Callithrix jacchus: one gene and its partner. The protein of the gene in region 2 purifies or fractionates together with the protein of the main gene of each other region. This does not show direct contact. Links are inferred from orthologs where the notes say so. Each region holds a gene or a part of one and is shown on either strand. Other genes may lie near its edges. The genes, in order: NXT2 and NXF1.

What was found.
Region 1: the proteins of NXF1 (region 2) and NXT2 purify together in Homo sapiens (co-immunoprecipitation; 5 studies listed by BioGRID and IntAct, counting the BioPlex papers as one, with this or other methods). This does not show direct contact. The link is inferred for Callithrix jacchus from reciprocal best matches to the Homo sapiens genes NXF1 and NXT2.

What each region holds. Positions count from the first base shown.
Region 1 is NC_133524.1:105,978,787-105,994,346, forward strand, and holds NXT2 (NTF2-related export protein 2), read left to right. Parts: upstream 1-2,003; 5' UTR 2,004-2,090; coding exon 2,091-2,188; intron 2,189-3,166; coding exon 3,167-3,251; intron 3,252-3,428; exon of another isoform or gene 3,429-3,497; intron 3,498-4,259; coding exon 4,260-4,346; intron 4,347-7,693; coding exon 7,694-7,838; intron 7,839-8,722; coding exon 8,723-8,904; 3' UTR 8,905-10,910; downstream 10,911-15,560. UniProt on the Homo sapiens protein: Regulator of protein export for NES-containing proteins. Also plays a role in mRNA nuclear export.
Region 2 is NC_133511.1:120,074,958-120,090,814, forward strand, and holds the start of NXF1 (nuclear RNA export factor 1), read right to left. Parts: upstream 13,423-15,857; 5' UTR 13,339-13,422; coding exon of another isoform or gene 13,311-13,338; intron 12,112-13,310; 5' UTR 12,096-12,111; coding exon 12,014-12,095; intron 11,633-12,013; coding exon 11,446-11,632; intron 11,227-11,445; coding exon 11,073-11,226; intron 9,551-11,072; coding exon 9,467-9,550; intron 9,374-9,466; coding exon 9,269-9,373; intron 9,147-9,268; coding exon 9,066-9,146; intron 8,958-9,065; coding exon 8,888-8,957; intron 8,748-8,887; coding exon 8,659-8,747; intron 8,532-8,658; coding exon 8,424-8,531; intron 7,822-8,423; coding exon 7,712-7,821; intron 5,884-7,711; coding exon 5,847-5,883; intron 4,363-5,846; coding exon 4,294-4,362; intron 4,215-4,293; coding exon 4,159-4,214; intron 3,388-4,158; coding exon 3,280-3,387; intron 3,167-3,279; coding exon 3,108-3,166; intron 3,001-3,107; coding exon 2,885-3,000; intron 2,767-2,884; coding exon 2,724-2,766; intron 1,830-2,723; coding exon 1,757-1,829; and 3 more. Other genes in the region: STX5 (syntaxin-5), read right to left, coding at 15,434-15,593.

The DNA of each region.
Region 1 (15,560 bases), on a different chromosome or scaffold from region 2:
CCGTATAATGTAGGATTACATTTATATGAAAAGTCCCAAATAGGCAAATACATAGTAGATTGGTAGTTGCTAGGAGCTAGGGAGAAAAAGGAAGTGGGAATTGACTGCGAAAGGGAAAGGGGTTTCTTTTTGAGGTGGTAAAAATGTTCTAAAGTTGTGCAATGATGCTTGAATAACTGTAAATACACGAAAAACCACTGAATTGGTTTTTAAATGAGTGAAATGTATGATATGTTAATTACATCTCAATGAAACGTTTTTAATAAGCACTATTTGATGTGAACAGTATGGTTGCCAATTCGAGACCTCAGAGGAAGTATTTGACTGACAGATCACTTCCTGGTTGTTCTAGATTACTTCTGCTAAAGTATTAAGCAAGGCAAAGATTCAGATGGGGAAGTTGGTAACTCCCAACAACTTTAATTCCATTAGGTTTAGACTTGATCAGAAGATCTGACTGCATAGCACAGCCACATTTAATCCTACTTGACATAATCTATTGTTCCTACAGTCTGCTATCCCAGGGTCACCAGCCAACCCCTAAACTGTACAGATAGATGCCTCTCAATACCTCAAACGTTATCTAATCTGTCCCCACCTCATACTCTCAAATAAGTGGCTGCCTAATTTCCCCTGCCATGGGTAGGAAAATACTGCTCCTCAAGCAAAAACTACATGACAGGCACCGACACATTTAATTCCTAAATCAATGCTGTGAAATATATATTAATATCATTTCCGCTTTACAGATTAGGAGTCTGAGTCATGGAATGGTAATTTTGCCAAGGTCACAAAGCTGGTCAGTAGCATGATGAGGATTTCAGTCCAGACTGGTGCCAATAACAATGTGCTTAATCAAAATGCGATGCTGTGTTCCAAGAAAAGCCTTTTCACAGCCTTCCTAGTCATTCTTCCCAAGTTTTATACATTTGCAGTTATCTAGTGAGGCGCAACTCTGTATCTTATTCACTTTGTTTCCATTTGTATCCCTCCGCCACCACCCAACATAGTTTTCATATCTTTAAATTCACTGCTCTGACAACCAGAGCCCATCATTGTTTATCCAGTCTCCTACCTTTGTAGCACAATCTAGCAATTCCCAGTTTGTAGCACAAAATTCCATGCAAAAATTCCATGCAAAACTGAGCTCTCCCCCACCTCTAACTCAGCTGTCCCTTTCCAGTACTTCAACACTCCCATATTTTCCAGCACTCTTTCCCACACCAACAGCCACTCGCATCGCCATAAAAGAGATCAGACCAAGGTAGGTATTTAAAGATTATGAGAATTTGGAGGAAAATAGATAACAGAGTTATCAAAGTTTGTGTATAGAAGAGAGAAAGGGGGAAAAGGGGAGAAGTGGGGGTAGAGAGGGAGGGAGGGAGCCAAGAACAGAGGGAAAAAAAAGAAAAGAGGAGGGAAGAGAGGGGAGGGGGAGAGGGAGAGGGAGAAGGGTTGCTATAGGGAATGGTCAGAACTAAGCAAGTTACTTGGAATTTCTTTGTAACACAATAATGTTATGTTTATTGTCTAGCACTCTCATTACACTGCGAGCTTCATAAGGATACAGATCATGTCTATTTTATTCACCACTCTCTATATATACTTCCGAGAGAGAATGGGAGGGTACAAAAATCTGTCCCGGCACATAGTAAATACTTGATAAATATTTATTGAATCAATTATGATGAGGAGGAGAGGGGAAACAAAAAAATAAAGATTCCGAGAATTCAAGATAAGTGACTGGGAGAACACAAAAGTTTGGAAATGCAAAGGAAACAATGAGTTAAAATCTTGGACATACAAGTTTGAGAAGCCTACAGTGCACTCTGGTGTTCATCTTTAGCAAAATTCATATATGTAATTCGAGCTCAGATACGGCGTGGGGGCTTGGTATCTTGTTGAGATTCATTAGCATACGGGTAGCCATTTAGATCACCCGGAAGAAAAAACTTAAAAAAAAAAAAAAGGGGATGCTCCGGAAGTGACGGAGGTCAGAGGTTAGCAGGACGGAAGTAGACCAGCTGAGAAGAAGCGGCAGTTAGAGCTACGTTAAAGAGAAAAGTGCCAGGTAGAGTAAGATTAAAAGTATGAGAAAATTCAGAAGCAACTGGTCTCAGGGAGACAGAGAAAGATACCAAGAAAGAAGTGACTCTTATCGGGAGAGGGCAGGCACCAGCTACTTAAGGTAAAACTACAACATCTAATTAATTTGCCATTTAAATCCGAAGTCATTGGTGGATTTGAGATGAGCGTTTTTTAAGGAGCAAAGTCAGATTGCCATGACAGTTGTGTTGCTGGAGTTTGAATCTCTACTAGTTCGTGACACCATAGGGCAGCTTCACTCGGTCTTAGCTGTAAAACGGAGATGATAAAATAATAGCAATTTTACCTCAGCATTATTATAAGTAATAAGTGATATGTGTAAAACTGATTAGAAAAACACCTTACATATAGTCAGCACTCCACATTTTAATTATTGTTAGAATACTTTGCAGAATAAATAGCCCTTCAAAGGTGGTGAATGGCACTGTAAACTTAATTTATGTTGGTGTCTGCAAGACATTTTAAAATGCCGGAATGGAGAAACTAGATAAGCATTTCTTGTTGAATATGGCTAGCTTAGAAATCAAATAGTAATTTTAGCCATACTGCCAAAATGTAGTAATTCTACATTTTGTGAGGATGGTCCTTTCAGAATGTTCCAGAATGTTAAAATTGTTCCCTAGTCATGCACGCCTTTTCCCCAAGCTCTGCCCCTTTATCTATAGGCTATGGAATAGTAGGACTCCTCACATTTCGAATTGGTCTTCAAGGGCTTTGGCTCCGCCTCCTGCGGCAAAAAAGTCCTTGTAATTGAACCCTTTCATTTTTGTTTGTCCCCAAGTATGTCATTAGAAAACTAGGGGACTTTCCTTTTGAGTACAATGTTTACAAAAACAAAGCGGTTTTTAAATTTTAAACTAAGTAAATAAGTATCAAACAAGTAGATAAATGAGGCGGATGGGAGAGATCTGCGGGAACTGAAGGGAGGTGGAACTTAAGGTTGGAACATCGGTGTGCTTTTAACGACGGACCGAGCTACTTCCGGGAGAGAATGGGAGGGTGGAAAATTCCGTCCGTTTCTTGGGTTTCGCGCTCTTTCTAAGTATTGCTCATTCCGCAGCCGTGAGAGGTGGACACATCAGGAGGTGGTGACGTCGCCACTTCCGAAACCCGTTGCTACAAGCTCCCTGATGGCCTCGTCTGTGGTGAGTGCCCGGGCCGGGGCAGGGCGACTGGGCGCCGGGCTCCAGTGGCTGAGGAGAGGGCCTCCGGGGCGGTCTGGCGGTTGCTCACGTGGGTAGGTGACGAATCACGGAACAGCTCTCTGCACCGCGGGGCGGGGCCCACGCTTTGCTACCCGCCCCGCCGGCCCGCCCCCGCCTGGTTTGCAATCGCTTTCTGGTCGGGGAAAGGGACCTGAGCTAGGAAATACCGAGACGCGGCATGTTGGGGTTTGTTGTTTGTGGTTTGCAGTCTCTTTCTCTTGATTATCCCCCTCTCTAAAAATCACTTTAAGTCACCTGACAAAGAAATTGGCGATTCATTGTTCTTAATTTAGCAATAGACTGGGCCCCGTAAATTAATGAGGAAGAAGGTATTCTTTAATTCTCCGGCACGAACGCCAACAGCGTTGCTTTCTTTGGTTTCACAGTTCTTATGCAAACATCAGTGAACGTTTACCTAAAGTGCGAAAGTTTCCTAAGTGGAGCTGCCAGGTTTTCAAGTAGTTGAACTAATACTTTCGTGTGTGTGTGTGTGTGTGTGTTTTCCATTCTTGAAGTCTGGCCCTAACATCTCACTTGAAAAGAGAAAACGCTTTCCCAGCTTATTCAGTGGCAGTTTTTGCCATTCTCTCTCCTTCTCTAAAGTTCAGGTGGTGTCATTTTCATTGCCATGAATGTTTTGTAAAATATTGAGTCTAAAGTACTTAGTTGCCAGGAAAACATTATAAATATTTATGTGGAGAATGAAAAACAGTCCGATTCATTGAGAATATTATGTCCTAAAGACATGAACTTAAAATTACTGAAAAATTTTTTTAATTGAAAACTTTAGAGCCCAGACTTTAAAATGTCTGAATTTATATGAAAGAATGTGGACTGTATATAGAGCTACATAGTGGTTGAAATAAATCATCAGCTTCTATCAGTGGTTTTGTGTTTGTGAGGGGCTGAAAAGGTTGGTAATATATACTTTTGGAATTTTTCTTGTAGGATTTTAAAACTTACGTAGATCAGGCATGTAGAGCTGCTGAGGAATTTGTCAATATTTACTATGAGACAATGGATAAAAGAAGACGGGTGAGTGTTATAGACTCTACTAATCTTTATAGATTCTACTATTCTTTATTAAATACCAGGTCTTGTCTGGAGCCAGCCTTTCATCTGACTTGCATAAATGGTAACTGTGAACTTATTCTTTAAAAGCAAATTGCTCAGCAAAGGATTGTTCTGTCATTAGTGGGAATATGGGCTCTGGAATCATATCCCAGGTTTACCTTTACCTAGTTCCTTGACCTGGAGCAAGTTGCTATTTTCCCTTAATCTCATTTTATTTTCAGGTTGGTAAGTATGAACTAATTAAAATACTGCCTTAACATTAGGCCCAGCATATATTCACTTAAATATGTTACATTTTCTTAGTTCCATCAGTTAACAAATACGGTTAAGGTAGTGCTAATGAAGGGGTTGGTCATTACAGGGAATGTTTCCTCATTTGCCCCTTTTATTTCATATATTTATAGATAATTTCTCATTGTGGCTCAAAACTATAGGTTACACCCACAAAGAGTATCCACGTAGCTTTGATAATATTAAGTCCTCAACAGACCAGGATTTCATCAGGTTGTCATCAACTTATCCCTGCACCATATCTTTTAAGTAATTATTTCAGTATGTGGTCAAATGAATCTTGCCTAGGTCCCTTACCAGCATAGAACTGTGCTTTGGAGAGCTACTTCTATCCTGCAGCTGCAAAAGTTAATACCCTATCTCTGAAAACCTATTTTTTAATCAAACACATTTATTAAACATGGGATTTTTTAAATTATACTTTAAGTTCTGGGATACATGTACAGAATGTGTAGGTTTGTTTTATAGGTATACACGTGCCATGGCAGTTTGCTGCATCCATCAACCTGTCATCTGCATTAGGTATTTCTCCTAATGCTATCTCTCCCCAGCCCCTCAGCCCCTGACAGGCCCTGGTGTATGATGTTTCCCTCCCTGTGTTCATGTGTTCTCATTGTTCAACTCCCACATATGAGTGAAAACATGTGGTGTTTGGTTTTCTGTTCTTGTGTTAGTTTGCTGAGAATGATGGTTTCCAGCTCCATCCATGTAACTCCAAAGACATGGAGTTACTCATGCTTTTTTAATGGCTGCATAGTATTCCATGATGTATATGTGCCACATTTTCTTTATCCAGTCTATCATTGATGCACATTTGGGTTGGTTCCAACTCTTTGCTATTGTGAATAGTGCTGCAGTAAGCATACATGTGCATGTGTCTTTATAGTAGAATGATTTATAATCCTTTGTTTATATACCCAGTGATGGCATTGCTGGGTCAAATGATATTTCTGGCTCTACATCCTTGAGGAATGGCCACACTGCCTTCCACAATGGTTGAACTAATTTACACTCCCACCAACAGTGTAAAAGCATTCCTATTTCTCCACATCCTCTCCAGCATCAGTTGTTTCCTGACTTTTTAACGATTGCCATTCTAACTGGTGTAAGTGAGATAGTGTCTTAATGTGGTTTTGAATTGCATTTCTGTAATGACCAGTGATGAGCTTTTTTTCATATGTTTGTTGGCCACATAAATGTCTTCTTTTGAGAAGTGTCTGTTCATATCCTTCATCTACTTTTCTATGGGATTGTTTGTTTTTTTCTTGTAAATTTGTTTCAGTTCTTTTTAGATTATGGATATTAGCCCTTGGTCAGATGGATAGATTGCAAAAAGGTTCTCCCATTCTGTAGGTTGCCTGTTCACTCTGATGATAGTTTCTTTTGCTGTGCAAAAGCTCTTAAGTTTAGATCACATTTGTCAGTTTTGGCTTTTGTTGCCATTGCTTTTAGTGTTTTAGTCATGAAGTCTTTGCCCATGCCTATGTCCTCAATGGTATTGCCTAGGTTTTCTTCTAGGGTTTTTATGGTTTTAGGTCTTATGTTTAAATCTTTAATTCATCTTGAGTTAATGTTTGTATAAGGTGTAAGGAAGGGGTCCAGTTTCAGTTTTCTGCATATGACTAGCTCTTTTTTCCAACACCATTTAGTGAATAGGAAATCCTTTCCCCATTGCTTATTTTTGTCATGTTAAAGCCTATATTTTTAGGGCAGAAGATAAGAGACATTTCTTCTACAGATATTTGATGTCAGGGGAAAGGGATATAACAATGGATGTTTATTGTACCTTGTCTTGAATGTGTGTTGTACCTTACTGCTTTCAAAAAATAAAGTAGAAAAAAGACAACATATTTCATTGCCAGCATCAAGATAGGTGTTGGCCTTTGTTTTTTCTTTTTTGAGATAGAGTCTCACTCTGTTGCCAAGGCTGGAGTGCAGTGGCACGATCTTGGCTCACTGCAACCTCTGCCATCCAGTCAAGCGTTTCTTCTGTTTCAGCCTCCCGAGTAGCTGGGATTACAGGCACCTGCCACTGCGCCCAGCTAATATTTGTAGTTTTAGTAGAGATGGAGTTTCACCATCTTGGCCAGGCTGGTCTTGAACTCCTGACCTTGTGATCCACCCACCTCAGCCTCCCAAAGTGCTGGGAATACAGGCGTGAGTGACCACACGTGGCCAGCCTTTAAACCCAAGTTACATTATAGAATTAAGCTAACAGTGTGTCATGTGACCTCAGAGTTTTAACTGTTGAATTTCTGCCTCATTTGGGCCTTAACTTCTTTGAGTTATCAAAGTCTCTCCTTTAGCAAATACTCATGATTCTTTTGAACTAAGTACACTAATAGAGTAGTGCTATAGCTGAGCATGGTATGACATGCCTGTAATTACAGCTACTTGGGAGGCTGAGACAAGAGAATTTCTTGAGCCCAAGAGTTTTCAGACCAGCCTGAGCAACAGAGCGAGACCCTGTCTCAATTAAAAAAAAAAAAAAAAAAAAATATTTAAGAAAACATAGATACCTTCTCTATAAAATGCAAGTAGTGAACTAATTCTAACACATGCAAACATTAAATGTTTCATATATATATGGCCACTAGCATTAAAGGGTACAGTTAAGACTTGATTGAAAACTTTGTTAATTCTCATAATTACAAAAGGAAGACAAACTAAAACTGGCTTGGGGCTGCATGTGCTTGGAATTTGTGATCATTTCATTCATTTTAATACAGAAAGAACTTAATTGGGTGCAAGGTTTTATTTGTCTAAAGTGAAATATGAAAAAATATATTTTATTGCTTAGTTTATAAAGAATAGGGTAATATTTATTTAAGGCCAAGATTATACATCAGACATTTTGTTCGTGTTAATTTCCAGTGGAGATGGAGCAAGGGGAGTGGAGATGAAAGTAGAACTACAGAAATGTTTATATACCATCTGTAATGTTTGAATCCATTTCTATAAAATGTTTACCTAGAACCAGAATTATTTCCCTTTTTAAAATTTATTATTCTTTTTAGGCACTAACCAGGCTGTATCTGGACAAGGCCACCTTAATATGGAATGGAAATGTTGTTTCAGGGCTGGATGCCCTGAATAATTTTTTTGACGCATTGCCTTCTAGTGAGTTCCAGGTCAATATGTTAGATTGCCAACCAGTTCATGGTAAGATCATGATCTTTCAAGGTACTTCCTTTGTTTTTCTTTAGTAAGCACTGAGCTTTTACACAAAAAGCAGTGAGCAACTTTTAGTGGTAGAACTATTTACTTACTTGAGCAATTTAAATATTATGAAAAAAACTGTCCAGTCAAACTTTTGGTCTTCCTTCAGATTCTTTCCAATAGTAGGTTTTGATGGATTGTGTGATTATGGCTTATTAAAAGTTGTATGAAAAGTTGAGATTAAATGTGATTTTTGTAAATGGAGAAGAAAGATTATCTAATTTCTTGAAATAGTTGCTTGCTGGGCCCTGAAATGCCTCCATATGGTAAAATTATACCATATCTCTGATTAATGTGTTTCAGTATATTACAATCTATTAATATTTCACAGAAATTTACTCTGTTATGTGAAAGGATAACTTTTGACAAGACAGTTTGATTCCAGATAGATTGATACAGTTTAATATAACCTCTAGGTGGGTTTCTAAGTGCCTTAAATTGTAGTTTCGGGTGATTTTTTTTCCTTTATAATTCCTGAAAACAATAGTTTAAGAAGCAAAACATGAATAAGCTCTGTTAGAAACCTGAAATATTAATTATGAAATATTAATATATATATGAAGCAAATGGTCCTATGCTAGATATAAGCTCTTTATTTTGAAACTTTAGAGTAGCCCAAATTTTTCTGGACTGAAAATGTTAATATCTTTGAATGAATATTTAGTTTTCTGGATTTGGGTATGCATGCTTAAGATTATGTTCAAGGGACAGAAAGTTGATGGAAAAAAGTTTAAGCGTTAGACCATAAACCATGTATTTTAAGCCTGAAAATCTGCTTATTTGAAGATAGAAACTGTCCTGTTTTCTTTTTTTTTATGTGGATAAAGAGCAAGCAACTCAGTCCCAGACTACAGTTCTTGTAGTGACCAGTGGAACTGTGAAGTTTGATGGAAACAAACAACATTACTTCAACCAGAACTTCCTGCTCACTGCACAGTCCACTCCCAACAATACTGTGTGGAAAATTGCAAGTGATTGCTTCCGTTTTCAAGATTGGGCTAGTACTTAAAGGGGCAAACCTCCATTCTCATTTAGTCCATTAGTTCCAGCAGCAGAAATTTATGTCAACTATTTTGGTTGTAGAAGCACTATAATATGTGCTGAAACCAAATTTCTTTAATATTTTTTATTCCTATCAGCACCTTTTCTACCAGATGCCTGTTTGGAATGTTGCCCTTTAAGAGCTTTAAAGCTACTTTTTTACATGCCTTATATACATTCCACTAATGACATTCTTACAGTAATATTAAACACATGATTTTGGTACTAACATACTCACTGTGAACCCAGCCTATTGCAAAAATAAAATCCTTTTATAATACTATCTATGGAATGTCAGCACAATATCTCTCTGGGAAGAAGTGGAGTTTTCTGGTTATTAGGTTAATTTTGTAGTAAAACACATTGCCTGTTTTCTGCTAACACTGGAAATGCCATTTTAATATATGGCTTTTTCAGATCAGTTCAGTGAAAATAGTACAGATTTAGGTTTACATAGCTACTCTGACATATTAGAATTGCATATAGAGATGTTCAGTAGTCTTTTTTCATGTTAAGCAATATTTTTTATTTTGGTGTGTTTTCTTATCAAGTAAATCAGCTAGAGAAGTGCAGAATATTCTCAATTGATAATCTGAGTATTGGGTGCATTTGGTGGATTAAAAGCAAAGTTTCCTGAAAAGATTTTTCTTGGCAGCTCGAGGTCTATACATTTAGGTAATGAGTGGTAGTAGAACTAATAGCTTTAACAGGGTTATAGGTAGGGAATGAGAAATAGAAATCCAAGGCTGAAGCCAAAAGTAAGGAGGGTAGCCAAATGGTAAACTGTTGATACTTGTTTTCTACCTCCTAAAAATGTAGCTTATGTTTAGGATTTAAATTACTGAGTTAATAAGTATCCTTGCCAAATGGTCATGAATGTCACTTTTCTTCTAAGACTAATATTTTTAGATCTTTTCACTTCATCTCGTACTTATCACCAATGTATAGCTCCATTTATTCAAGAACTTATGGGAGTAAAATAATAGCAATAAGCCTAACCCTTTAAAAGGGTCTAACATGAGGGAGTTGGAGCCAAATCCATTGCTATCTCTTGGTGACACCCTTAATTTTTAAGTCTTCCATGTGAACTTTAGGCTCTAAAGCTTCTTATGTATCACACATCCCCCAAATAAATGATTTTTTCCCAGTGTTTTGTACTGTCAACTGCATTATCTTTAGTTATTAAAAGATAGAATTATTTAATTTTGTGGTTTGTTCTTCCATGTGACATTGGGTAAATAGATCTGTTTTAAAATATGTTCCTGCTATGTGGCTAAATCATTGTCTTTTTAGAAAGAAAATAGAGAATAGCAGATCTTCATGATAATCCTCAAAAGAACAAAATGCTTAACTTTTTTTCAATTTCTAAAGGTAAAAAACCTAGATTCAGTTTTTGCTTAAACATTAAGTGCTTTTCCATTTTTTAATATTGGTAAGCTAGATATGCCAGCTTTGTTTCTACATTGCAACCAAAAGCTGTTTCTTTTCATTTAATTGTAAAACGAGTAATTCATTTACTCTTGCCCAAAACTGTACACTGTACTTCTATTATACTAATAACATAGAATTATATAGGATAATTGTATGGAACTCAAATTTACACCATGCTTTCTTGTAGTGATTGAAACTTATACATTTTATTCTACCCATAGTGAGCTTATTCTTATTTTAGATCGATTTTCTAAAACCTCAGCTTTAGCAGCAACAGTCAGAATGCCCAAATGCTGCCCTTTCCCTTACCGAGAATGATGTCAAGTAAAAGCTGCACATAACTAGCAATAACTAAATTGAACGGTGTGTATTGTTCATGATTGTCGTGTGTTTTAAGACTTGTATATAAATTGCTTTTTCCAAACTCTGTATAACTTCTAAATGGCTGGAACTACTCTTATAGGGACTAGACTGTATTTTTGACATGTTCTTATTTTTGTAACTTGAAAAAATAAAATTTTGCCATATGACAGATGTCATCAAGCTTGTTTTAAGGTCTTTCGATTTTTGTTCTTAGATTTCAGAATGGGTACTTTTTTCTTTGCAATATGAGGTTTTCCAAATTTAGGGAAAAAAAATTACAGTAATGTGTTAACAATGGTTGACAACTTGGATCTTTTTTTTTTCCTTCTGTAACCTACCATATCTTTCTCCTTTTCCTGCCAATTATTCACATTCCTGAGATCATCACTTGTTTGAGATACCTGTGAGGTTTTTGGTGAGAAGTTGGAAATCTTAGCCTTGAGAAACTAGCCAAAATATAGTTGATTTCCAGAAAGAATGGTTCCATTAACTTTAATGCTATTAAAAATATGTCAACAGACTTCTTTGGAGGGGAATGAGAAAAAGCAATACCCAGCCAGGCGTGGTGGCTCACGCCTGTAATTGTAACACTTTGTGAGGCCAAGGTGGGAGGATACTTGAGTCAAGGCATTCAGATACTTGAGACCAGCCTGGGCAAAGTAGCAAGACCACTGTCTCTATAAAAATCAGCTAGCAGCGGGGGCTGGGGATGGTGGCTCACATCTGTAATCCCAGCACTTTGGGAGGCCAAGGTGGGCAGATCCACGAGGTCAGGAGATCGAGACCATCCTGGCTAACACCATGAAACCCCGCCTCTACTAAAAATACAAAAAATTAGCTGGGCGTGGTGGCACGCGCCTATGGTCCCAGCCTCGGGAGGCTGAAGCAGGAGAATCACTTGGACCCGGGAGGTGGAGGTTGTGGTGAGTAGAGATTGCACCACAGCACTCCAGCCTGGGTGACAGAGTGAGACTTTGTCTCAAAAAAAAAAGTTAGTGGGGCACAATGGCATGTGACTGTAGGCCCAGCTACTAAAGAAGCTAAGTTGGGAAGATCACTTGAACCCAGGAGCTCAAGGCTGCAGTGAGCCATGAATGCACAACTATACTCCAGCCTGGGCAATGGAGCAAGACTTCATCTCTAATTTTAAAAGAAAATAATAGCTCTTAAAATTAAAAATCATATTTTATCTCTTCAAAGATGCATGTATTTTTCACATTTTAACATCCCTGGAATTAGTACAGATATTAAATTGATGTCATATCATAGTTTAGTCTCATTTCCATTTTCTCAGTGGTAAAGTAATGGTGAGTCTTATAAACAGTGGCATCTTAGGAGTTTTGCCTAGATAAAAATGGCTAAGAATCTACTTAGGTCTAAATTTGTAGGTATTAGTGGAAGTGAAAGGCTGTAAGCTTACAAAACTAGTAATTCATGACTCAAATTCTGTCACAATGCCTTTTGTATTTCATGAGTAGCCTATATGGCTAGAAGAGCCACAGACTCAGTGAATTTGAGTCATGGTAAATTTTCGTGGTTTTTGGAAATTATCTAGTAATGTATAGTGTATCTAAAAAGATAGTCCCAAAGAGGTTCAAGCATAAGCACAGTGTTTCGAAAGGGAACAAGAAGTCAAAAGCCAAGAAGGTACAGTGAATTCTTTTCTGGAATTTTGATGAATTCATTATTTGCCTGAAATTGGGCAGGAAATTTGGTGGAAGGGGATCCCATTTACTGATTTTTGTTATAAGCATGTGTTGTCCTTCCTACCCTGTGTGTGCTTTAACATAACCGCACATATTTAGGGGAAAATGGTAAGGCATTTTTGTCTTTTTGATTTTACAGTTGACTCTATACAATAAAAGTATTTCATCAAAACACTTGTTACCAAACTATTAATAAATGCTCACCCTTTGCCAAATGCAGCTGTCTTTACAAAAGAGTACTCAGTGACTCTCAGTCAGCTATGTAGGTCAGTCTAGCTTTCTAGAGAAGCAGTAAAAGGTAGAAAAATGTATTGTTGGAATAATGTGTCAGATTGAGGGGTCTTAGGACACAGCATAAACCTGGGCTTGAGGTATATGCATTCTTTAGATAGGTAGCTTTCAAAATTTTTACCGTGACCCATAGTAAGAAGTATATTTTATATCACAACCCCAGTATAGAGATGTACAAGTAAACCTATATATGCAGTGTGTGTGTGTGTGTGTGTGTGTGTGTGTGTGATGTCCAAAATAAAACTCATGTTTACCACTTGCAGTGTGGTCCTGGCATTTTCTATTTCATTCTATTAATTTTTTTGAAAATGCTGATCATAAATTGCTCAACTGATTTTTTTACAACTTTCTAAGGGGTTGTACCATCAGTTTAAAAAGCACAAAAATAGAGCAAGCATATTTTCACTATCACTTTTGAGTAGGGATATAGGGATGGCTTCCAAAAAGTAGTACCATGTATCAGTGATGTCACCCTGACTTGGAAGTGACCAAAAACTTTCTCCTCTCAGGCTTTTCATGTTTGTTGAGGGCCATGAAGGGCAGCAGTCTTTGCCTCCCATTCCTTGGTTTGCATGAGAAGTTTAGAACTAAGAAAGCAAATCCTTGTGTTAGTCTTTAGGCAGAGTTTGGGAAGAGAATGAGTGGCAATGAAAAGGAGTTGAATTGGAAGAAATGGTCCTATTTCAGTTGTCCAAGCAAAAAAGTGAGAAGGCATTCTAGCAAAACCACTTTGGAACATGATCTGATATTATGTAAGCTGTATTTTGATAAATTTTAAGTAAATTTCATTTTTTTCCTTTTCCTCCCTCCTTGAACACCCCAAAAAAGGAGTGGATTATTCATGCCTCCCTTTTTAGACTATATAGGGTAACTTCCTGATGTTCCATGAATAATTCACTCCTTGCTTAGCACCCATCTGCATATCAACTCCCCTTGTTTTACAAAGGCTGTGGTGGTCTCTAAGGTGTAAATACTGGTCCCAGACCCAAAGAAGTCCTGTATTCTAAGGCCCTTCTGTCCCTAATGTGTTTTGTGACTTTGTGCAATTCACTTACTCTGGGCCTCTCTCTTCAGCTGTTGAATGGAGATACTGTTTGTCCTATCTTGCCCACCAAGTGGTTGTGAGAATCAAGTAAGGCAACAAATGAAAATATTTAAGTGCCTCATGCTACATACCTGTAATGGTTACACTTTTTGGCTTGGTGATTGGTTTCCTCCACTCCCAAAATTCTGGTTTTCTTTAAGGGTAAAATCTTGAGAATGATTGTTTCCCACAGCCAGACACTAATTCTAATCCTTGCCCCTGCCTTTACTGTGTGTGTGTGTGTGTGTGTGTGTGTGTGTGTGTGTGTGTGTACACACACACATATACAAATTTGCAAGAGTCTTTCTGTAACCAGAAAAACAAAATGGACTGTAACATTATTCATTCCAATTCTCTTGCTCAAGGGCAGGAAATTAGCAATAGACGCCTGCAAAACTTAACCAATCCCGGTACCGGGGTCTGACTTGGAGACCTGAGCTGCCTGAGGTGGCCAACAAGGCCTTTGTTTTCCTGTCTCTTTTGTGTTGTTTCTGAAAGAGCCTCTGGAAATGATTTTTCTAATGTGCTAATCTGTCTGTCTGCGGCACCCAGGATTCCCAGAGGTCTGGGCTCAATCTCAGACCTAATAATTCAGTGGCTTTGGATGTTGCTGAGGAGAGAAGACAAGCCTGGAGATGGGATGGAAGGAGAAATTAGTTGGGGGGCAGGTGAAGGAGGAGGGTAGGTAGGGACAGTTGGGAAGACACTGCTTTCCAAACAACTGAAAATAAAAGAAGAGGAAGTGGGGAGAGAGAAATGGAAAAACAGCCTTCCTAGACAGGTAATTTATAATAACTGGAAGGAAAATGAGGGCTGCAGCTAAAAATATGTATACACTCACAAATCTCTGGAAGGCCAGTGGCAAAACTAGGAACTAGGAGACTTCCTACCTCCATGCCCTTTTCTCCCATCCTTCTTGGGTGCTATATTGCTATGCTTCCCAAGGCCCCCACTGTTGTAGACTCTAGACCTAACCTGCCCTCTCTTTAAATCCTTCAGGCCTCACCCTCTCCTTTTGAGCTAATTTGTTAACTCTTCACTATGGAGGCAATTGGCTTTTATCTTGGGGTTGTTGCATTTTGGCTGGAAGTATCTAGAACAACACCATAAGTGAAAGGTATATTTCATTAGTCTTAGTGTCAGAAGCATTTGAACCAGAGCAACTTCATCTTGAGCAACACCTGGGTAAAATGAGGCTGAAACCTGCTGGGCTGCATTTCCAGGAGGTTAAAGCATTCTAAGTCACAGGTTGAGATAGGAGGTCAACTGCAAGACAGAGGTCATAAAGGCCTTGCTGATAAAACAGGTAGCACTAACGAAGCCAGCCAAAACCTACCAAAACCAAGATGGTGACAAGAGTGACCTCTAGTCATCCTCACTGCTACGCTCCACCAGCACCATGACAGTTTACAAATGCCATGTCAACATCAGGAAGTTACCCTATATGGTCTAAAAAGGGGAGACATGAATAATCCACTCCTTGTTGACCGTATAATTTTTTAGAAACATAAAAATGGGCAACCAGCAGCCCTTGGGGCTGCTCTGCCTCTGCAGTAGCCATTCTTTTATTCCTTTACTTTCTTAATAAACTTGCTTTCACCTTAATCTATGGACTCGCTTGAAAATCTTTCTTGCTCAAGATTCAGGAACTCTCTCTTGGGGTCTGGATCGTGACCCCTTACTGGTAACATCTTTCTGGTGAACCCCAAGGGATGATACTGAAGAAACCCCCTACCAAAAGGAAAATCA
Region 2 (15,857 bases):
CAGGAGGATTACGTGAGCTCAGGACCAGCCTGAGCAACACAGCAAGATGGTCTCTACAAAAAATTTTTAAAAAAGGCCAGGTGTGGTGGCTTACACCTGTAATCCAAGCACTTTGGAGGCCAAGGTGGGCGGATCACCTGAGGTTGGGAGTTCAAGACCAGCCTGACTAACATGGTGAAACCCTGTCTTAAAAAAAATAAAATAGGCCAGGCGTGGCGGCTCACGCCTATAATCCCAGCACTTTGGGAGGCCAAGGCAGTGGATCACGAGGTCAAGAGATCGAGACCATCCTGGTCAACAAAGGGAAACACCGTCTCTACTAAAAATACAAAAATTAACAGGGCATGGTGGCGCGCACCTGTAGTCCCAGCTACTTGGGAGGCTGAGGCAGGAGAATTACTTGAACCCAGGAGGCAGAGGTTGTGGTGAGCCGAGATTGCGCCATTGCACTCCAGCCTGGGTAACAAGAGCAAAACTCCGTCTCAAAAATAAATAAAATAAAATAAAAAAGCTGGGTGTGCTGGCACATGCCTGTAGTTCCAGCTACTCTGGAGGCTAAGGTGAGAGGATAGCTTGTGCCCAAGAGTTAGAGGTTACAGTGCGTTATGATCACCACTACACTCCAGCCTGGGTGACAGAGCAAGACCTTGTCTCTAATTAAAAAAAAAACAAAAACAAAAACAACCCACCTGTCAGGAGCTCTCATTAGTCACGACTACTCCTACTTTGGTTCAGTACATCCCCACCCTACATACATATGCCCAACACTCACTTCTGGGACCACTCGAGGTTCATGCCAGACTGGGTAGAGAATGCCTGCAACATTTCCTGCTGCTCTGGAGAGAGGGTGGGCACTGGGCTGGAGGAAGGCGTGGGTGCGGGCATAGCGAAGGCTCTTTGGATCTCTTCAGAACTGGCATTCCGCACAAATAGCTCGTCGTTTACAATACACAGCCTTGAGGACAAAGAGCACTTAAAAAGCTGGACAGATATATAATGTCATCCCCCAACATCATTCCTACTCTCAGATTCCTTCAGTATTCACAAGGTTCCCCTCCCACTCTGAGCTATTGTTACCTTTAATCATTTATCTCCTCCCATGGAATCCATGTTTGGAAGGATTATCTACCAAACACACTAGAGTTCTCCCAACACATGGACAGTTCTTAGTCCTTTATTTATCTTCACAACAAATTTAGGAAGTGAATATTGTTTTTTTTTGAGATGGAGTTTCGCTCTTGTTACCCAGGCTGGAGTGCAATGGCGCGATCTCGGCTCACCGCAACCTCCGCCTCCTGGGTTCAGGCAATTCTCCTGCCTCAGCCTCCTGAGTAGCTGGGATTACAGGCACGTGCCACCATGCCCAGCTAATTTTTTGTATCTTTAGTAGAGATGGGGTTTCACCAGGTTGAACAGGATGGTCTCGATCTCTTGACCTCGTGATCCACCAGCCTCGGCCTCCCAAAGTGCTGGGATTATAGGCTTGAGCCACTGCGCCCGGCCCGGAAGTGAATATTGTTAATATAAACTTTCAGATGAGGCAGCAGCCTACTTGCTAGAGGTGGAGCCAGGATGAAAACCCAAACAGTACAATTCCAGAGCCGCGCTCCTACCTAGCTCTTAACTACTATGTGAGCTTTCCCCAATTTCCTGTTGCCTTTCTGAAAGCACCCCGAAGACTGACTCTACCCTCCAATTACCACACTGTTGGCCATGGATTAGGACTGGTATCCAATGTGAAAAGCAGAATATTTACCCTGAATTGGTAGCAGGAACAGCAATGAATGTCCGGGTGAAGGCTCGCAAAGAATCCCGAGACTTTCCATCCACTGCAATGAGAACAAGAGCAACGACACCTTAGGATCACTAGTGGTTTACAAACAGCTTCTTGAATCATGGTCTTATTTGATACGAAGAACACTAGCGGGCCAGACAGGGATGATTAAATGTATAAGGGAAGTAGAGGTGGGGTGAAGGGTTGGGCAGAGAGTACAATAATACTAATAACTACTAACCCACTGATAGCATCTGTGTGCCAGGCCCAAGGCCAAGCACTTTGTAAGTTATTTCATTTTACTTCTATAGCACCACTGTGAGATGGCTATTACCCATCTTACAAATAAATAACCTAAGTCTTAGAGGTAATGTTACTTGTCCACGGCCCCACACAACCAAAACCAGGATGGAAACTAAGAACTGCCTGACTCCAAAGTCTTCCTAATCCCCAGGCTTTTCCAATATCCTGTCAGGACAGGCGGAGGGGAGGCCAAGCCAAGATGGCTTGGAGGCAAAATGGGAGAAGGAGTTCAAAAAGAAAATGGGGCCGGCGTGGTGGCTCACGCCTACAATCCCAGCACTTTGGGAGGCTGAGGCGGGTGGATCACGAGGTCAAGAGATCGAGACCATCCTGGTCAATGAGGTGAAACCCCGTCTCTACTAAAAATACAAAAATTAGCTGGGTATGGTGGTGCGTGCCTGTAGTCCCAGCTACTCGGGAGGCTGAGGCAGGAGAATTGCCTGAACCCAGGAGGTGGAGGTTGCAGTGAGCCGAGATCGTGCCATTGCACTCCAGTCTGGGTAACAATAACGAAACTCCGTCTCAAAAAAAAAAAGAAAAAGAAAAAGAAATGGGAGAGAAAGTAGCTGGGAAGCTAAGAGTGCTGAGGTACATTCCAGCTGGGGGTGGGACCATGCTACAAACTCAGGACTTTAAAGATTCTTACCTTCCTTGAAGACCCCATTGACAGAAAAACACAGCAGTGTGCTCTGAAACAGAAGCAGCATCAGGTACAATGTAGACTTCTGAGCGCACCCCAACCATGCCTATTAAATGCCACCCCCATCCCAATTCTAGGCTTCTGTCAGGGCACAAGCAGGAGCTTACTGTCTGGGCGCTTATGTCTACCACGAAGGAATTGACGTCGTGCTGCGTTTTGGGCAATTCGTTGAGGAAGGCGACAACATTGAGACGCGTGTGCTTCAATAGCCGGAACCGCAAGGCTGTGGGTAGAGAAAGCTCAGTGGGGCTGCCACATACTCCTGAGTTTTATGATAGATTCCTTCCCATGCCCTTTTCCCATCCTGTTTTGTTCACATCACACACTTACTAGGGTCTTTAAGCTTCTTCACATTTCTGCTATCTTTGAAATACTCGGCCAAGTTGCTTCTGGGGGAATAAGAGGAAAGGACACGGTGTCAGAGCATTGCTGCAGCAAGTGCTGCCCTGTATCTGCTGGGAAACCCTGTGGTACCAGGCAGATTCTGGGATGTGATACTTACCGGGCAGGGTTTTGAGGAATGAAAGGAATGCTAAGGGAACAACAGGCCCCATCATGGTAGGCATCTAGGAGCCCTTGCCGGTCTCCAGAGTCATAAATAGCATAGTACCTGTGGGAAAAACAAAAAAGAAAGCATAGGCTCTGTGGTCTAGAGCCACAGCAGGACCCAGTACCTCCCAAGAGTGAGCTGTGGCTGAGCACGGTGGCTCATGCCTATAATCCCACCACTTTAGGAGGCCCAGGCGGGTGAATTGCTTGAGCCCAGGAGTCTGAGACCAGCTTGGGCAACATGGTGAAACCCTGTCTCTACTAAAATTCCAAAAAAATGGCTGAACTTGGTGGCTCATGCCTGTAATGCTAGCACTTTGGGAGGCAGAGGCGGGTGGATCACCTGAGATACGGAGTTTGAGACCAAGCTGGCCAATGTGGCAAAACCCCATCTCTACTAAAAATACAAAAAATCAGCCAGGCATGGTGGCGGGCACCTGTAATCCCAGCTACTCAGGAGGCTGAAGCAGAAGAATCACTCTAACCCAGGAGGCAGAGGTTGCAGCAAGCTGAGATCATGCCATTGCACTCCAACCTGGGTGACAGAGTGAGACTCCATCTCAAAAAAAAAAGAAAAAAAAATTAGCTGGGCGTGGTGGCAGCCACCTGTAATCCAGCTATGGAGAGGCTGAGACAGAAGAACCTCTTGAACCTAGAAGGTAGAGGTTGCAGTGAGCCAAGATTGTGCCACTGCACTCCAGCTAAGGCAACAGAATGAGACTCTGTCCAAAAAAAAAAAAAAAAAAAAAAAAAAAAAAAAGTGAGGTGTGCCTGGGTCTGCCCGACTTTCCTCAACCTTGGGCTGTGGGAAAGGGGGTCCTGGGATACTTACTGCTGAAGGAAGTGCAGGACCAGACTCTTCAAGTTTTCTGTTCCAAAATAGCTTCCCTGGAATCAAACAGGTATTAGGACCATGTAAGCAGTATTCCCTTCACACACGAGTTGTTACTCTGTCCGTGCTTCTTACCTTACAGGGCGGTAACGTCGTGGGGGGTTCAATATCAAAGGCAATTGGTGGGGGTAGCTCATGGCCATCCTGTGGAAAGAAGTAAAAGTTGACACTGTAGACTGGGCATAGTGGCTCACAGCTGTGATCTCAGAACTTTGGGAGGCTGAGGCAGGAGGATGGCTTCAGCCCAGAAGTTCAAGACAAGCCTGGGCAACATGGCAAAACCCCATCTCTATCAAAATTACAAAAATCATCTGGGCATGGTGGTGCATGCCTCTATTCCCAGCTACTTGGAAGGCTGAAGTGGGAGGATAACTTGAGCCTGGCAGGTGGAGGTTACAGTAAAAGCTAAGATTGTAGCACTGCACTCTAGCCTGGAAAATAGAGCCAGATCTTATCTCAAAAAACAAAACAAACGGAAAGTTGTCAGTGCAAACATGAGAGAAAAAGACTGGATGCATAAATAGAATGAAGAACTAGGAGAGAAGGGTCAAACGTCAAGTGTAAAAGCATCATGAAAAGTATCCAGGAATCCAGGCCAGGCGTGGTGGCTCACACCTATAATCCCAGCACATTGGGAGGCTGAGGTAAGTGGATCACTTGAGGTCAGGAGTTCAAGACCAGCCTGGCCAACATGGTGAAACACCATGTTGTTTCACCAGCCTGGCCTCAGGGAAAAATGGCCCCCACTCCCTACTAAAAATACAAAGAGGTTGGGGCGCTGTGGCTCACACCTGTAATCCCAGCACTTTGGAAGGCCGAGGTGAGCAGATCACCTGAGGTCGAGAGTTCAAGACCAACCTGACCAACATGGCAAAATCTCATCTCTACTAAAAATACAAAAAATTAGCCAGGCACGTGGCAGGCACTTGTAATCCCAGCTACTCGAGAGGCTAAGGCAGGAGAATCCCTTGAACCGGGAGGTGGAGGTTGCAGTGAGCTGAGATCACGTCACTGCACTGTAGCCTGGGCAACAAGAGTGAGACTCCATCTCAAAAAACCAAACCAAACCAAATAAAATTAGCCAGGCGTCTTGGGGCATGCCTGTAATCCCAGCTACTTAGGAGGCTGAGGCAGAAGACTCGCTTGAACCCAGGAAGCAGAGGTTGCAGTGAGTGGAGATTGCACCACTGCACTCTGGGTAACAGAACAAGACTCTGCTGAAAAAAAAAAAAAAAAAAAAAAAAAAAGGAAAAAAGGGCAGGGTGCAGTGGCTTATACCTGTAATCCTATAATCCCGGCACTTTGGGAGGCTGAGATGGGTAGATCACCTGAAGTCAGGAGTTCAAGGCCAGCCTGGCCAACATGGTGTAACCCCGTCTCTACTAAAAATATGAAAATTAGCCAAGCGTGGTGGTGCCTATAATCTCAGCCATTGGGAGGCTGAGGCAGGAGAATCACTTGAACCTGGGAGGAGGAAGTGACAGTCAGCTGAAATCATGCAGTTGCACTCCAGCCTGAGTGACAGGGCGAGACTCCGTCTCAAAAAATGAAAAAAGAAAAGTATCCAGAAATCTTGTGAGTGAGAAATGCTGTGTGCTTGTTAAAATGAAAAAAAATTATAGACTTACCAGGCGTAATAACTTGGGAAATCGTTCACGAATGGCGCTGTCAAGAATGGGACAGAAGTGAGTGACGATTCAGAGCCACCGTGCCTCCTGGGCTGCTCTAGGAGCAAATATACCAAACCCAAGGGACAGCCCATCCCATCCTGCTCATCCCTCCACTCCTTCCCAGCCTGCGCTCAGGAAAAAATGGCCCCCACTCCCCACCTGACCCGGGGCACCCAGACACGGACTGCCTTGAAGGCTGTCTCTTTTCTCTCTGCCTGACTCTGAGTGCCACAATGAACAGCACTCCAAGCCCAGGCTTTAAGCCCAGGACCTCCTTCCCCTCCCTGCCCCCCTTACCTTCCACCTACTCACCTGTGCAGCCCCGGGAGGAGGGAATGGGGTGGGAGCCCAGGGGCTCCGCTGCCTCACCAGGTATCCATCAGTTCTGCCAGGTCTGGCCTTGGCCAAGACCCAAACACACCACAGGGATGGCACAGGATGTTGGGGCAGGGAGATGAGCAGGTGGGGCTCAGGAATTGAGAAGCAAAGGAATAAGAAAGGAAAGGAAAAGCAGGAAAAAGAGAAAAAGGCAGGATGGGGCAGGGACAGGGGCAAGGGAGAGATGGAGGAGGTCTAAGAGATAGAGAGGAAAAGGCAAGAGAAAGCAAAGAAAAAGGGAAAGAACTACAAGGTAAGAACGCATCTAGAAAAACGAGGGAGAAAGAAAAGGGAGAAAGACAGCCTGACACAGCCCTTTCTTTCAGCAGCCCCATCCCTGTGGTCCAAGTTAGAAATGAGAAACAAATCTTTGCTGTGACGAGTGGGCACTTGCTGTTGGCCAGGTCTCTGTCTGCTACCTGGGTCCCGATCTGAGCTGGGCATGGGAAGCAAAGCAGCCATGGGGGCAGGAGACCTCCCTCAGAAGGTGTAAGGGTTCAGGACCCTGCATGGTTGTGAGGGTGAGGGTCTCTGCCTCACCTCTGTTGCCTTCAAGTTCTCTCCTGATGGCCCCTCTGCGACTGTGCCTGTCTTAGGTTGTTCCTTCCCTGAGGAATCTTACCCGTCTCTGGCTAACCAGCCATCCACTGGGGCCAAACAGGGTGATGTGCAGTGTGTGAGTGAGGGAGAGGCAGCGCCCCCGAGGGGGTCGGTTCTCTGTCTCCTTGGTAGACTATGCCCCCATGGCCTCCACGCCCAGCACCTGCCTTGGGAGTCCCACGCCTGCTGGCGGGGCCCCAGCTCTGGTCACATCTTGGGGAACCCAGGTTTCTTCTCCAGGGAGAGCCCAGGTCATAGCACTGGGCAAGAGACAGACTGCATGGCACCAGCCCCTAGGAAGCCTCAACCTCAGCATGGGCAGGAAAGCCCAGGCAACAGCCTTGGGCAAATGGATCTTGAGAAAAGGGTCCCTCTTGGCACAAGGGCAAGAGGGGCCATCACAGTACACAAGGAGGGAAGGCCCATCTCAGAAGGAAATCTCAGATAGGGAGAGCTTCCTCAGCCCATGGACACCAGGCTCTTGGCACAAGGCAACACCATCTATAGGGTATGTACAAGATACCCTCTGGTCAGAGTAGAAATGGGGAGTTGCCTTTCCTGGAACAACAGGATAGGGGAGATTCTAGAAAAGGCTGTGTTCAGGAAGCAAAGAGAAAGAAGGGCCACAGTCCCAGCAGTCAGGTGAAAAGTAAAGAGAGGAGATCTTAGGACAAAGCTAGAAGGCACAGACAGACCAAAGTGGGGAGCACGTGATCCTCCCAAAGGATAGGTGGCTCCAGCTCAGGGCTGCACATCTCCTGCAGACGGTCACTGGTCAGGATGCATTAGCTCAGCCTCCCAGGGGGTGAAGGTCCCCAGGAGGGGAGACAGAGTCTACAACTGACCTGATGTAGGTGGACTGGTCTCTGAAGGTGTCACACAGGGAGTTTCCGTCAAGCCACAGCTCTTCTAGCTTCAGGCCCTTTATCTTGTCCAACTCCCGCTCAGACTTCAACTGCAAAGGGTGGGGGGAAAAATGGGAGGAGATTGTGGTGAAGAGAGCCAGTTGGATCCCCACACCTCCAATCCCTACCATTAGCTCTGCTCTGAGATCTTGTTTAATCTTTTTAGATTTTCTTTTTTTTTTTTTTTTTTTTTTAAATTTTAGAGACAAGGTCTTGCTTTGTCACCCAGGCTTCAGTGCCATGGCATGATCATAGTTCACTGTAGCCTCAAACTCCTGGACTCAAGAGATCCTACCACCTCAGACTCCTGGGTAGCTAGGACTACAGGCATGTGACATCATGCTGGCCTTTTTCATTAAACATTTTCTGAGACACGTTGCTCAGGCTGGAATGCAATGGCACAATCATAACTCACTGCAGCCTTGAGCTCCTGAGCTCAAGCAATCCTCCCACCTCAGCCCCCTGAAGTAGCTAGGCAAACTCCTATCCTTAAGTGATGCTCCTGCCTTGGCCTCCCAAAGTGTTGGGATTACAGTCGCAAGCTACCACATCTGGCCTGAGTTCTTTCTCTTGGCTCTTGCAGTCACCAGACAAACCCTGCACACCCTCTACCCACCCCCCTCAAAAACACAGCCAAGGTATCAACTCTTACTTCATTTCCAGAAAGGTTTAGGATCTTCAGGTTGGGTGCCTTCTGCACAATGCTAGACATGTCATCCAGCCTGTATAGCCTGTTGTTGCTCAAGTTCAAGGACAATAGCTGTGAGGAGAAAGGAGTTTAAAGGAAGCACCACCAGCAAGTGGATCAGAGACAAATTTGCCCTCTAGCCACATCCTATCTAACCCACCCTGCTTCCTCATGCCTAATATTGGGTCAAAGGCGTTACCTCAGGGATGTTCTCTTCAATGATTCTCAGGGTAGCTGCCATACAGCTTCTTCGATTCAGGACAACATCAATGTTCTGGGCCACCAAATCTTCAGGAAGAAGGGAAGGAAAGGAAAACTGAGAGGTCTTGCCCAGGCCAGCGTTAGCACTAAAATATCCTCAAATTTTCCCTCCCTGACAGATCCCCACCTGTCACCACCTATCTGAGAACTACTGTTATCAACCATACCTGGGTCTGAACGAAGGCCCTTGAGGTCAAGGGCTTGTTGGGAGCCATCATATCGTTTGCTCATGATCAGCTACAAAGGAAGACAGGTTTAGTGGTTACTGGGATTGTGTGTGTGGGGTGGGGGTGTGAGAAGTGGTAAGACTGGGTTGGAAACTTATCTAATTTGAGCCTGCCTCACCTTTAGCTGTTCTACTTGCTCTGGCTTCAGTTCATTCAGTATAGTCGGGGGCGGAGCAGAGGAGTTGATGATGATAGATATCTGGAGGGAAGACACAAAGGGCACAGAAAACTCGAGGGGAGCCTAAGCTGCAAGACCAAGACCCAGTCCCTTCTCTGATCACCAACCTCCACCTCCAGCCAAGCTAGGCCCTTTAAACACACCCTTCGATTCTCCCGATCCAAAATCTTATAGTTGATAGCTTTCAATGCAGAGGCAGTGCTGGCATCCTCAACAAAGAACTGGGCCCGTGTATTCTCATAGTGAAACTGCAAGAGGAAACAGGAGCGTTACACTGGGAGTCCAGAGCCCCCTGCCCATCCCTGCTGCCCAGCCAGCCAGCCACTCAGGCCTTGTCTTACCTCAATAGGGGTGAAGGGCACACTGCACTTGCTCTGAATCATGCTCAGGAGCCATGCTTTGTCATACTTTTTGCCATAAGGAATCTAGAAATGGGAGAGAAAAGAAGGGAATTGTAAGTAAGGCCGAATAGCAGACCCAATACAATGCCTTTTATACCTTCTACTAAACTTTAAAAGACATTCTAAAGAAAGGACCAGTATTAGGTTTTCTACTCGAGACACACGTAGGATCTTCAGGTTGGGTGCCTTCTGCACAATACTAGACATGTCATACAGCCTATATAGCCTATTGTTGCTCAAGTTAAAGGACAATAGCTGTGAACTCCTTTCTGTCCACTTACACTTACTATTTTTTCTCTTTTTAGTAACAGGGCCTCACTCTGTCACTCAGGCTGGAGTGCAGTGGTGCAATCATAGCTCACTGCAGCCTTCATCTCCTGGGCTCAAGCAATCCTCCTGTCAGCCTTCTGGAGTAGCTAGGGCTATAGGCATGTACCACCATGCTTGGCTTCCCTTTTCTGTAGAGAAGGGGTCTTGCTGTATTTCCAGACTGGTCTTAAACTCCCAGCCCCAAGTGATCCCCTGCCTCAGCCTCTCAAAGTGCAGGGAGCATAGGCATGAGCCCCTGCACCCAGCCCACTTAAACTTATCCCTCAAAAAAAAAATCAATTTTTTGATTCTAAAAGTTCCAAGATATTATTTACACCTGGCCTGCCCCTCAGAGAACTCCAGGGACTCCCAGCCCCACACTCAGCTTGAGCCAAATGAAGACATCCAGAGAAATTACTCCCTCCCCCAACCAGTTTTCATATTTCTCATTTACCCCTTCTCTGAACCTGCTCTAAGGTGTCTGAAGATACTGATTCCTAGGAGAAAAGATAGATGCTTGACTGTGAAGTAAAGAGCTGAGAAAAATAATTTTTGGGCCGGATGTGGTGGCTCATGCTTGTAATCCCAGCAGTTTGGGAGGCTGAGGCAGGCAGATCACAAGGTCAGGAGTTTGAGACCAGCCTGGCTAATATGGCAAAACCTTGTCTCTACTAAAAATACAAAAATTAGCCAGGCGTAGTAGTGGACACCTGTAGTTCCAGCTATTCAGAAGGCTGAAACAGAAGAATCACTTGATGGTCAGGCACGGTGGTTCACGCCTATAATCCCAGCACTCTGGGAAGCCGAGGCGGGTGGATCACAAGGTCAGGAGATCGAGATCGTCCTGGTCAATGAGTTGAAATCCCGTCTCTAGTAAAAATACAAAAATTAGCTGGGCATGGTGGTGAGCGCCTGTCGTCTCAGCTACTCGGGAGGCTGAGGCAGGAGAATTGCTTGAACCCAGGAGACGGAGGTTGCAGTGAGCTGAGATCGTGCCATTGCACTCCAGTCTGGGTAACAACAGTGAAACTCCATCCAAAAAAAAAGAAGAATCACTTGAACCAGGCAGGCGGAAGCTACAGTGAGCTGAGATCACACCACTGCACTTCAGCCTGGGTGATAGAGCAGACTCCATCTCAAAAAAAAATAGTAATTTTTGTGGAATAAAACTAAACATCTCCAGGCTGACTGCAGCCTCCCATCGCTACCGCACTATCTACTTTCTCCAAGAACTCACTGTAATTTTGAACCAGTTCTTTGAGGTCCCATCCTGGCTGGTGCCAGCTCCTCCTCTCTCTGAAGGAGCTCTGTCTCTCCGCACGGTAACATGAATGCGATCTCGATCATGCCACGTATCGCCCCGACGGTTAGGCCGGGTGGTATAGGGGTTGCTGTGGGCAAGCAGAGAATAAAATGACCATAAATGCTAGGAAAGTCTTCTCAGAGACCTACCTGCACTGTTAGTGGGACTACAACTAAGATTGTTCAATCATTAAGCCACTCCTGGCATTTCTCACTCTTTCAGGTTGGAAAGGAAATAACATGGACAGTAAAAGGGCCATATAATCTCATGGGCCACTAAATTCAAACCAGACCAACTGGTCACTTACTATCGTACTCGGGGACCATCTTGGGCATCACTCATTGCCACATCTCCATCATCTTCCTCAAGGCGGGAAGACCGAATACTAGAACCACCTCTTCCAGACCTACGGTTTCCTTCACCATATTTCCACCGGAAGGGACCCCGGCCTTTCTTCCTTCTTTGAGGGAAATTAACACGTTCATCATCGTGCTCTGAAGTTAGAAACAGGAACACAAATTAGGAGTAAGTAACTGGTCCTGCTTGGCGTAGCAATCAGTTTCTAGTACTCTGCACTATGGGAAGAAATACATACTAACTACAGAGGCCATGTCCATGCAAACTCCACTGGCAGTCCAGCGGTAAGAACCCTCTCTGTGGGAGGGAAGCATCAGGGAAGTTATTGGAAAATTGTGTAGGGCTTTTGAAAAATGAAGCAGAGGCCGGGCACGGTGGCTTATGCGTATAATCCCAGTACTTTGGGAGGCCGAGGCGGGTGGATCACGAGGTCAAGAGATCGAGACTATCCTGGTCAACAAGGTGAAACCCCGTCTCTACTAAAAACACAAAAATTAGCTGGGCATGGTGGTACGCGCCTGTAGTCCCAGCCACATGGGAGGCTGAGGCAGGAGAATTGCTTGAACCCAGGAGGCGGAGGTTGCGGTGAGCCGAGATCATGCCATTGCACTCCAGTCTGGGTAACAAGAGCGAAACTCCATCTCAAAAAAAAAAAAAAACAAGAAAAAAGAAAAATGAAGCAGAAACTGGAATTAGAGAGAAGCAGAAGGTAGAAATGTGACAACCAAAAGTGTAACTGAACACAAATCAGACCTCTGATAGCCACGTGAAATCTGCCACTCAGTACTTTTTCTCCACAGTACAGATGCCAGTTACAAATATGACCAATTTAAGGATCCTCTAAAAAATTCTTCTTGTTCTCAAATTGCCACTTGGAAGTTTTGTGAGGAGCTCTTCATTTCCTTGGCCAGAAATGGCCTTTAACTCAGAAGACAGACAACTTCTAGACTCAGGATCTACTGGCAGTGCCAGGCTCAGGTGCTTAACCAGGGATCCTGGAATGCTCTCCAGGAATATGACCTTCTGACACATGCTGTGTAGGACTGGCATCTTTAAAAGGTCTCTAACTCCCAAAAGAAGTCTGCCTAATACAGATACTGTAAACAATGAATCTCAACAAATGACCCCAAGAAAAAAAGTACACAGAAGGCGCACCTAACATTCACTGAGAACTTTCTCCAGTGCCGGCCACTATGCTTCAGGCACTTGATAGAAATGATCTCATTCCCCGCACCCCTGCCCGCCTCCTCCACTCTTAAAAAACAGATACTGTTGTTATTCCGCATTAAGGAGGTGGAAAACGAGTTTTAAATTCACGGTTTCAACCTCCGCCATGCACTCCTAACTACTACAAAGGACTAACATCCAGTGTAGTGTTCAGACTAGAACATCCAGTTGAGGTGTCTCAAATATTAAGCCAAACCCAGGCCCGAGGTTTCAAGACCGACTGGACGCAGTAAAAAATAGGGCACCAGGGCAGCCCACGAGCAGGGCACTAACTCACATTAAAGGAAGAGTCAGGCCGCCAAACCGAACTGACAGGCATCAACCACCCACAAAGTTCAAAGGAATCCGGTCACCCCACCCCCAAGCCACCCGCTCCGAGCCGCAGGTCCTCCAACACCAGGATTCCAACAGGAATCCAGGAGTTCAACAACTCGGTGTCCACCTCAAGTGCTCCCGGTTCCTCCGCGCGCCGCTCCCCACGGACGCCGAGCCCCTGCGGCCTCACGTCCCGGGGGCTGAGGCCTAGGCCGGCGCCTCCCACCCGGGGGTCCCAGATAGCCGGCTCTCGACTCAAGGACCAGCACTGACCGCTGTACGACTTCCCCTCGTCCGCCATACCACAGCGAAGAGCAAGGGCGGGCTCAGGCGCGGGCCGCTACGCCACCAAACGTCCGAACCCCCAAGCGCTCAGGACCAAAGTGTCCCTACGACGGGCGCCACCGCATTTATTCGGAATAGCACGTCGCGCGCCGCTGACGTTCTAGGCTGTGGGCGGTGCCACTGCTGTAGAAAGCGCGGCCACTGCGCGTGCGCACACTGAAGCCCGTCGTGTGAGGGGCGGGGCCCGACCCTCCACGCCCCGCCCAAGGCCTGAGCTTGCGGAATTCCGGCTGGCTGCCAGCAGCTCCTGGCACCTTTTCATTTGTCCGCTGACGCTGCCCTGGGCACCTCCAGAGTTAGTGCTGGAACAGAGTGCTGCAACTGCAGCCCAGAGTTCAGAGCGGGGAAGGGGACCGCACGAAGGGCTTCCGAGGTGGAAGTGATGCGCCTCCAGGTGGAAGTGATGGCTTAGACCCCCACCGGAATCCAGCCAGTTTCAGCTCGGCTCCTTGTCTATGCCTCGCTTTCTTTGCCTATAAGATGGATTAATAATCACGAAGTTGAGAATTAGAATGTAAGCTTCATGGGAGCAGGAACCTTGACTAATTAATAGCTTTCTTCCTCGAGGGCTTGATTCGGTACCATGCCTGGCACATAGTAGAAATTCAACATGTATTTGTGAAATAAATGAATTTCTGTTCTTTGCATTCCCCACCCGCCCCGCCGCGAGTTGCTGAGTCAAATGAGACGGCATCTATCAGGGCTTTGCCGAGCATTGACATTATAGACCTTCCATCAATGACGTTCCCTACTAGAAACCCATCGTGTCAATAAGGCCGACAGTGAAGCTCACCAGCAGTGGCAGACAACTTGCTGGAGATGCCAAGGAGAACATTTTAAAGTATCAGGGCCTTGGGATCTCCTAGACCCCCAGAAGCACCAGCCCCTGATTGTTGTCTCTATAGCTTGAACTTCCTTTGGAATATGTGAGGCAGGGGCACTCGAGTAGCCTCAGAATGTGGTTAAGTCTTGGTCAGGAAGAACAAAGCACACCTGGATGGTGGGTATTCTGGGCAGGTGTCTTCTCCAGTCTCTGTGATTGGCTTTGATTTGGTGAGGGGCTTGGAGGGAACCAAAAGCCTCAGCTGGAGTTGGGAACAAATCCTCCACCTTCCACTCCTGGCAGCAGGCAGAGCTTCTACCTTGCTTAGCTTAAGGAAGATATCAAACAGGTCCAAACACTGCTTGAGATGGTCCTGGAAGTTGCCACCAATCAAGGACCCCCTCTGGGATCCTGCTCCCCTGTGTGAAAGGAAGTTTCTATGCTAATGAAGTGTTGCAACACTTGGTTCTGCCCTGCCTGGAGGCAGCTGTGTGTCAGAGCCCAATATAGCCTGTCAGCAGTAATACCCTGCAGAGCCATTAGCCCAACCCTTTCAGTTCTGGTACTGGGCAGTGGGCTCATTCCACTCACTGCCTAGGCCCTTCGACGCTCCCACCCAGAAATGATGACATAGCTAGTAAGGATGACAGTCTTGCTGTAATTGGGAGAAAACGGGCTGCAGCACATTTGGCAGATTGAGAGTCACCAGCAGCCAATGTTGGAGTTTGTGCAGGCAGCTGAAGGGCTCAGGGCTCCCTGCCTCACATGGTGAAAGAGGAAGAAGAGGTCAAGTCCTAACCCAGATGGGAAAATTGGTCCCTGGGACATTTTACTTCCTCTCTTCACTCACAGGAAAAGTGGGGAACGGCATCATCTCCCTTTGCTGCCAAAGTTTTCTTTGGGAGAGGTTGGAGAGGGTTTATAAAAATCTCCTAGTAGAGGCAACCTCCCCCAGCTGGCCCCCAGCGGCCTCTGCTCCCTTCCAGTCACTTCACAGCAGAGTCCAAATCCAGAACTGTGTGTGTTTCAAGGGCCTGAGGGTGGTGGGGGCAGGACAGGGTGGCCAGAGGAAAGGGGTGGGAGATCAGGGGCAGTGGCCATTCTTAGCAGTTTCAGGGAAACAGGGCCTTTCTCCCAAGCACCCTGCACAGGCTCGGTGGCAGCATCGGCTACTTGCCCTCCCAGGAGGGTCCCAAACCCCAACGGAGTGCCTCAGAGTGGAGCAGGTTCAAGCAAGGAAGACCACAAAGATGATGAAGAAGACAATGAGAATGAGGAAGATTTTGACCATGAGCCACCGATTGGAGGTGACTGACTGGAAGTACTTGAGGATTTCTGAATGGGCGGCCTCAACGTCCAGCTGGGCTCCTAGCACATTCTCGTCGATCCTGGGAACAAGGCCGGGAGAAGAGAAAACAAAAGGACACTGGATTAAAAAGAATGCTGTTGAAGTCTGTTTATTTATTTTGAGATGGAGTCTCATTCTGTCGCCCCAGCTGGATCTCAGCTCAGTACAACCGCTGCCTCCATATTCATGCAATTCTCCTACCTCAGCCTCTCGAATAGCTGGAACTACAGGCACGTACCACCATGCCCAGTCAATTTTTTTATTTTTAGTAGAGATGGGGTTTCACCATGCTGGCCAGGCTGGT